Caenorhabditis elegans: one gene and its partner. The protein of the gene in region 1 interacts with the protein of each later gene in a pairwise test. Each region holds a gene or a part of one and is shown in the gene's direction. Other genes may lie near its edges.

Evidence for each region.
Region 2: the proteins of dnj-11 (region 1) and Y17G9B.5 interact in a two-hybrid assay, tested with the Caenorhabditis elegans proteins (one large-scale study listed by BioGRID).

Annotation. Positions count from the first base shown.
Region 1 is NC_003282.8:6,584,014-6,588,844, forward strand, and holds dnj-11 (DnaJ homolog subfamily C member 2), read left to right. Parts: upstream 1-1,857; coding exon 1,858-1,941; intron 1,942-1,993; coding exon 1,994-2,270; intron 2,271-2,315; coding exon 2,316-2,851; intron 2,852-2,905; coding exon 2,906-3,043; intron 3,044-3,099; coding exon 3,100-3,462; intron 3,463-3,512; coding exon 3,513-3,884; 3' UTR 3,885-4,173; downstream 4,174-4,831. Other genes in the region: F38A5.2 (TraB domain-containing protein), read right to left, coding at 1-133, 179-316, 361-486, 542-840, 896-1,123, 1,195-1,240, 1,292-1,387; lec-11 (Galectin), read right to left, coding at 4,222-4,472, 4,541-4,676.
Region 2 is NC_003282.8:4,748,345-4,752,170, forward strand, and holds Y17G9B.5 (Evolutionarily conserved signaling intermediate in Toll pathway, mitochondrial), read left to right. Parts: upstream 1-1,895; 5' UTR 1,896-1,901; coding exon 1,902-2,055; intron 2,056-2,099; coding exon 2,100-2,327; intron 2,328-2,375; coding exon 2,376-2,874; intron 2,875-2,924; coding exon 2,925-3,096; 3' UTR 3,097-3,147; downstream 3,148-3,826. Other genes in the region: cyc-2.1 (Cytochrome c 2.1), read right to left, coding at 1-97; rpl-18A (Large ribosomal subunit protein eL20), read right to left, coding at 835-1,170, 1,219-1,425; Y17G9B.4 (Peptidyl-prolyl cis-trans isomerase), read left to right, coding at 3,775-3,826.

The DNA of each region.
Region 1 (4,831 bases):
GTACGAGCATATGCAAAGCATGCGTCATGTAGGCATCACGCTCTTCCACAAAGATTTGGGATAGTTGTGGGAAATCATCAGCCATCTCGGCGAGAAGTTGCTCCAGAAGGTCACGTTGCTTGCATCGTTCCACCTATAATTTTGGAATATTTTTGGAAAAGGTTGAATAATTAAATACCTCTTCTGCAGTTATCTTCTCACGATGTGAAAATGCAACGTGGAAGAAGAAGCGAATTTTTTGCCAGATGGAGAGAGAAGCCAGTGCACGTTGAAGTGTAACTTGAATAGGACGATCACCGAGAACTACACGACAATTCTGAAATAGTTACTTTGTAAATAAAACTTTTTAAATACTCAAACCTCAGTTGCAACTGCTGCACGATGAGCAGCACGGAATTCTCCTCCGGGAGCCATGGAAAGTTCACGTGTTACATGCGCTGACATTGACAGGAGAAGAACGTGCAGAATTCCTTGAATCGCGCCGTTCTTAAAAAAGTTGAAAATATTACAACATTACAACAACAAAAATATGAGAACTCACTTGTTTCATGGTCTGAATAATTTTTTGAGAGTTGAGATCTTTCGCTTCGCTCAAAAGCCGAGCCTCATCCATCGATATGATTGAAATTCGTGATGGACACAGCTCAAGCATGACAAAATCAGGTTGCACAGCACGAATTGTGTTGGATACGTCTTCCTGCGACTCTTTTGAAAAGTGAGCTGTACCGATGAGATAAATGGTGGAGTCGAGAATCGCTTTCTTCCATTCTTCATCAGAATCGCTCAGCACGGGGTTGCGTGGAGGAATCGCCAGATTTGTAGGCCATTTGAGCACTGTTACTGTAATTATAGAATATAGATATCAGTGTTACATCGAACTGGAGTTTTAAGAAACCTGTATTGGCATTTGGGACGAAGTCATCTGCTCTTTTCCTTCCGAAATGGTACCCTCCACAAACAGGATTGTTCACCACTGCACCATCTTCTGTTGCTTCAGGAGCTTGTTCCAGCTCATAATCCAACTCGGCATCATCTCCAACATGCTCATCAAAATTTGAAGTCGAATCTGCGAGTGATATGATGGACTGCTCGGCTGTCTCACTTGCACCACCAACAACTGAAACTAAAAAAATATTAAATATTTTAAAAATAATTATCTTTCCAAACAACTTCAAGCGATGAAAAAAAACTTACGTCCTTTTTTCGAATTGATTGTCAGAGAACGCATCCGGAATAGATCCTGAACATGGAGATTGTTAATAATTTTTACAAATGTAATATTTCAGCATACCTCTTCAGTCAATTGATCTTCCGATGGTGGTGGCACGTCATTAGGGTCTGGAAACTCAGTTCCATCTGGATTCAAGTTTGACGATGACTCTGACATCTGAAAACCTTATTTTGGATATAACTTGAAATTATAACATGTTTTATTTCATACAATCGCGTACAAAGCGGAGCTTACAAAGCTGAAAAACAATTAAAATGAATCCAAATCACTCCAGGTTTCCATTTTAAGTTACAAGAAAAAAAAACAAAAAAGACCAGCGAAGCGCGTTTGCATTGTGTCTCCGTCTCCATAATTTATGTTGTGACTCGGTTAAAACCGCGCCGCACTCGACATTTTGCAACCATGGCACGATTTCTTCTTTCGTAAATCCCCCGCAATTATTTTCAGTAGTTTTTCAGCTTTATTTCTCAGATTATGTCCCTTTTTCTTCTCTTTCGTTGCTGAAAATCTTTTATGAACAACTGTGGTCACGCGATTTAAAAAGAAAACAGAAATTTCTAGGCTGATTATGTTCTTTTATTTCGTTTTAGGACTAAAGTAGGCTCAAAATAATTTAATAATTATAGATGACTACGGGCAATTTACAAGTTGCAATTTATGGATTCACAGCTCGAAGCAGAGCTTTTGAGCCAGCCGGAATATGCTATGAAGTGAGTTTACTATCACCTATGTCCGCAAATATTTCTTAACTGACATTTTCAGACTCGCCTTATTCGAGATAAACTCACACTGGGCCACTGTACGCTTCCAATCTATAAAAACTCTCCTGTTGCAAAGCCTGTTACGGAACAGCAAAGAAAAAAGTCGTCTGAAGAGCCAGCTGAATTGAGAAAAGATCTTTTTGATGCTGATAATGAAAAATATGAAAAGTACTTGATGAAGCTGGATCCAAATGACTGCAAAAATCAGGATCACTACAAAGTTTTAGGATTGTCGAAGCTCAGATGGCAAGCTACATCTGACGAAATTCGTTTCTGTTGTAAGTTAAAATGAAGTGAGAATTTTTTGAAGAGAATTATTTCAGATCGTCAAAAGGTTTTGAAGCATCACCCGGACAAGAAGAAGCATCGTGGAATTGTTATGGAGAAGGAAGAATACTTTACTTGTATCACAAAAGCTTATGAACAAGTTGGAATGTCTGACGTCAAACGTCAAGCTTTCGATTCGGTCGATCATAAATTCAACGATATTATTCCAAATGAGAAATCAATCAACCATAATAACTTTTATAACGAACTTGCTCCAGTTTTCCAATTAAACTCCAGATGGTCCAATATCAAGCCAGTGCCAGAACTTGGTAAATCAGATGCGACCCGGGAGGATGTCGAGAATTTCTACGATTTTTGGTTTAACTTCCAGTCATGGCGCGAGTTCTCGTATTTGGACGAAGAAGACAAGGAAAGAGGAGAAGATCGGTACGAAAGACGAGAGATGGAGAAACAGAATAAGGCAGAAAGAGAAAGACGGCGGAAAGAAGAGGCGAAGAGAATTAGAAAGTTGGTTGATATAGCTTATGCTAAGGATCCTAGAATTATCAAGTTCAAGAAGGAACAGCAAGCGGTAAGTCTATAAACTTTGCCTAAACTTTGCCGGATTTTCAATTTTAAATTTTAGAAAAAAGATAAAGCAAAGGAAGATAAGCAAAGAGCCATCCGTGAAAAGCAAGAAGCTATCGACCGTGAGAAGCGTGAAAAGGAAGAAGCCGAAGCTAAGCAGAAAGAGGAAGCTGACAGAAAAGCAAAGGAAGAAAGAGTGAGCACAATACACCAGAATATTGTCGATTTTTAAATACTAACTATTATTTTCAGGAGAGAGAAAAGAAAGAGCGTGATATTGCCAAGAAAGCTATGTCTCAGCAGCGTAAGCGTCTGAAGAAACTCGCTGATGAAGCTGGCCACTGGACGGAGAATCCTCGCGATAAGCTCACTGAAATGGAAAGAATTGAGCGGATTTGCATTGGGTTCACTGTTGATCAACTCAGAGAGCTGTGCGAGAAGGTCGAATCACTTTCAATTGCTTCTGAAATTCAAACTGCGCTAACAGATGCTGAAATTCTGAAGAAAGAAGCTGCTGGAGCAAAGGTCACAATCACTGAGGATAAGAACAAAGAAAATGAAAAGCAAGCCGACAAGGAGACATGGACTAGTGAAGAGATTCAATTATTGGTTAAGGTAAGACATAAACGATTGGAAATCATTAATTAATTTTCATATTTTTAAAGGCTTCAAACACATTCCCACCTGGAACCGTGGAGAGATGGGTTCAAATTGCCGATTACATTAACGAGCATCGCAAGGATTCTACGGGTTTACCACCAAAAACTGAAAAACAGGTTATCAAGCAATGCAAAGCTGTTCAAACGATGAACGTCAAGCTACCATCAACTACTCAAAATCAGCTAGGAACTGCGCTACCAGATGAGGATGTCTGGTCAGCAACCGAACAGAAAACTTTAGAGGACGCTATCAAGAAGCATAAGTCAAGTGATCCCGAGCGGTGGGAAAAGATCTCAACAGAAGTTGGCACAAAGTCCAAAAAAGCCTGCATTCGTCGTTTCAAGTATCTCGTTCAAATGGTTAAAAATAAGAAATGATCTTCTAGTCCAAGTAATATCTTCTCTAAATCTTCCTCATCCCTTCATATTATTTCTTGTTTCTCCTCCATAACTCTTGTTTCCGTTCCCATCACATTTTAGCTCGTTATATTGTTTTTTCTTCATTTATTCATTTATTCTTGAAAGCCTTAATCATTCTTGACTCTTGACCAACTCAAATTCAGTAGTACTATGTACTTTTTTTTTTGTTTCTGTCATCAAACTTTTTCTGCAGTGCTCAATATTCATGTCTCAGTTATGAACATTAGATGAACGGTGCGTCCCTATCAATTTGTCATGTTCATTTATTCATTCATTTTCACAATAAGTACAAATTTCAATAGTGATGGTGACGGTGGTGATGATAACCGTCCATGTAGATAACTTCAGGTTGAGTATAGATGATTGGAGTAGCAGTTGGATACACGATTGGTTGAACACTTGGATATATGGGTTGAACCATTGGTTGCATAATTTGCTGAACAACCGGAACAATCTGTGGTTGGGGAACAATCATTGGAGGCGGTGGTTGAGCAACAACGATCGGAGTTGGAGCAACAGGCATTTGCATTACACCGATTTCAGTACCTAGAATTATTAAGATTGGAAATCAAAAAACAAAAAAAAATCCCCAGAATATTAAGATAAAAACCAACCTCCTCCGTTATGATGTTTGAAGTTTTCGAAATGAATTTTTCCAACTCGAAGATCTCCTCGAACAGTCATTGCAACGATTCGTTTTGGGCATTTATGATGATGATAATGTCCGATGTGATGTCCGTCCACGTGGATCTGGAATTAAATTGATTGTTTTTACGAGAATATTGTTTGAATAAAAAAAAACTATCTGTGTTCAATAATCTGATATTCTAAACTCAAATAATTAGAGAAATTAGGTTTTAACATAAAGTCTTTCACACTCGTGGGTACGGTAGCTGAGAAGTTTC
Region 2 (3,826 bases), 1.8 Mb from region 1:
TCTTTGTGGCGGTCGAGTCAACGACGTGGCACTGCAAGCATCTCTGCTTGTACACCTTCTTTCCCTTTTCGTAATCTCCAGCTGGGATATCGGACATGTTGAACCCTTAAAATACAGAAATTAGTGAAATATATACTAAAAGAGTCTAGCAGGAAGAAACCGCCACAGCAGCACTTGGGGAACCGCCCGTGATGCAATAGCGAGAAAGAAACGGGGGTTGTGCCATCTCTCGGGCGGCGAGGAGACGCAGAGACACAGAAAGGCCATAGAACAATCGGGCGGTCGCTCTCGGGAGTCTGGGTGAAATATCATTCAGCGAGGACATACTAAAATGACGCTGTTGAACTTTTTATCTATGATCTGAAAGGTTTTGCCCTTAAAATACAAAAAATAAAGTTTCTACGAGATTTACCGCATTTCTAACGCTTACAACTTACAAAATCTACAGTTATCCAGATTTTTATCAACTTATCTCAATTATTAAGAATTAATTTACCTTATCGAAATAGTGATATTGAACTTTAAGGAATGTAGTTACAGATCTAGTAGCGTAAGAACTGAATATAGAAGAGCAGATATCTATATTGCAAAAGAACAAATTTGAAAATATTGACAAAATTTACCAGTCACACAAGTCAGCTGGGCGGTCCGATGCCTTATGGATCATTGCAATGATCATCTAATAACATCAACAAGTGCTGCGCACGAGATAAAAACAGTAAACAAATAACAAGCTGAACAAACAGGATTCAAACCACACAAATTTAAAATGAAAAATTAAGAAAAAAATTTGTTTGCAACAATTTATTGTAACAAATAACAATAATCCGCAACTTAGGCGAAGTGGGTGTTTTGGCGAGCGGTTGTGAAGACGCTGAGGTTCTTTCTCTTGGTGACGCGATGTGGGAGTGGGAATCTGATCTTGGCGTCGTGGAACATCTTGATTCCGGCACGCTTGGTGTCTTCGGCCTTGACGGTTTGGACCTTGAGGATGTGGATGCGGTCAGCTTGGGCACGATGACGAGCTCCCATGTCACGGTAGCACTGGGTGACGGCTCCGGCAACGGTGGTGTCACGGTACTCACGGTACATGTTGTGGTGTCCGGTACGGGAATCGTACTTGAGCCAGACTCCGTAGTTCTTGACGGTTCCTGGGTTCTTCTCGAACACCTGAAAATTTTATTGTAAAATGGGTTATTATTATTATTTTCCACAAACCTGCTTGATCGAAAGGATCTCTCCGTTGGCCTTCTTCACACGACGGAGCATAGAGACGAAGTACCAGAAACGAGACTTGGCGATGACGTGGTTGGTGGCGAAGATTTGCATCTTCCAGATTGGAGTCACTGGCTCCTTCTCTGTTGGGATTTTGCGTCCGACGACGACGTACTCATTAAGAGTCTCTCCAAGAGCCTTGGTTGGCATGTTTTAACCCTGAAAAACAAAAATATGATGCAAGGAATGGGGAATGAACAATCTGATATAATAGCGAAAAACAATTTTAGGATAACGTTACAATTTTCTTTTAAAATGGAAAGGTAGATGGGAATTACCGAAAAAATATGAGTGCATATTGCAATATTTAAAAACTATGAAAAAACTGTTAAATTTTTGTAAAAATCAGAAAAAGAAAAGCGGAAAAAAGCTAAAAAATAGGATCAGGAAAACCCAAAATGAATTTCAACGCACAAAAGTGTATGCGGCAGTGCTAGTTTTGTTGCGTGTTCTATTACCGTATCCTTCATACACTCGCCGTCGATTTACGGGGAGCGGTGGAGCGCACTTACTCCTTAGATTTTTAAGCAATTTTTTTGTTAAAAAGATATAGAAATGTGATTTTAAATGTTTTATTTTAACTATAAAGTTATAATATTAATTTATTTGTACATATTCAGACTTTAATGGCTCTTGCACATGTTTCACGACGGGTTATCAGCAATCAAATACGATGCTTTGCTGCAGCGAATCAAGAGACGAGTTTAGTACATGTTGAAAAGCAATTCGAAGCTATAGAACCGGAGAAAAGAGATAAAGATGCATTCATGGCAGCGATAGGTTTGGATATCTGTCTAGTTTCAACGATTAATCTATGTTTTCAGCCACGTTCAAGGAAAAACGAGGTCGAACGCATGTCGAATTTATCAACACAGCTCTAAAATATGTCAAAGAATATGGGGTTCATAAGGATATCGATACTTATAAAGGACTCCTTGAAGTTTTTCCAAAAGGAAAGATGATCCCACAAACTGTTTTCCAAAAAGTTTTCCTGCATTACCCTCAACAACAAAATTGTGCAGTGAAGGTTCTAGATGAAATGGAGTGGCATGGTAAGTACAAAGTCGTTTACTATTCATAAATTATCAAAAATAGTTGAGGTGTTCAACCGGATAAGGAGATCCATGATATCGTGGTCAACGCATTCGGAGAGTGGAATTTTGCAACGAAAAAGGTGAAGCGTATGCTCTATTGGATGCCAAAGCTGAAACATTCGAATAAATATCTGGACAGGCGCCACGTGGAAGGGAAGTCTCTATCACCCTCCGAGTTAGCCGGAATCGCGCTGAAAATGATGAGCCGAGACGCTGCGTCCTCTATTTCGCTTCTAAAACTGTCAGATTCATCAGATCCACAACAAAAATGGCTAGCCACGTCACAGAGCCCAATGCAACAGATATTAATTTCTGAATTGCGAAAAGGTGATGAAGTCTTCGTGGATGCTGCAAAAGTCTATCTACAAGACAGAGTTATTCCATTTATCACATTAACTGGAAATACGAAGCTGGAACCTTTAAACGAGTTCAAAAACGAAGATATGGACGAAGATTATACAAATTGGTACGCGGACTGGCAGAAGCAAAGAGGAGAAGCTAAAAGGTAGGTTTACAGTTCAAATTTTAGATTTGATATAAAATTTTAATTTTCAGATCGATCCACGAACAAGACCACGAAACGATTTTCGCAATGGGTGCTATGTATAAAGATGATAATGCAACAGCGATTCGATGGATTGATAATCTACAAAAAACCAACCCAAATATGGAGAACCTGAGGTTCCGAGTTCGATTGGAAGGAAACCCGATAATTTCAAGAAAATAAAATGTATTGTGTTGACTAGAATTTGAGAAACAATAAATAATTAACAGTTTGTGCCGATTCTCTTAACAGCTGACCTTGTTCTGCGTGTTTTTTTTTTGCGCTCGCTAGTCCCAAATGTTGTGATAAGACAACATTCACTTTTTTGGATTATTATGGATTATTGAGGATTGGCAGTACAGAACTAACTGCAACTCTGGGAGCGCCGAGGTCTGTCTAAAATGCCAAAATAAAAAATATATCCGGCGATAGATTTGTCTGTAATCCGAGATTCGAAATTGTTTTGTTTTGTGGTTCTATCAGAAGAACATGTTGCATGAAATTGTGATATCTTAAACTACAAGAAACAGGAAAATGTTAAACGCGGTTTTATAAAATAACAATACTGAAGCACTCATGAATAAAACCAATTTTTATCTAATTTTACGCATGAATACAGCGATTTTGTATTTTACTACGTTTTTTTTTACTACGAATTGCTATTGCATTTTTTTACTACGAATTGCTATTGCATTGAGAATATGAAAATAAGATAAAATAAATAGTGATTTATTTTGGGACGGTCTCTTTAAAGGCGCAACCGAAAAAAGTTCGCGCAGGTCTCGTCACGAATACAGTCGTTTCTTTGGATTTTATCGAATTGATTCGTTTTTTGAGTTTGGACAACTTTCTACCCTCAACATGAACGACGAGATCATCTCAAATCTTCATATGCTTTCGGCAGTGCATCGAA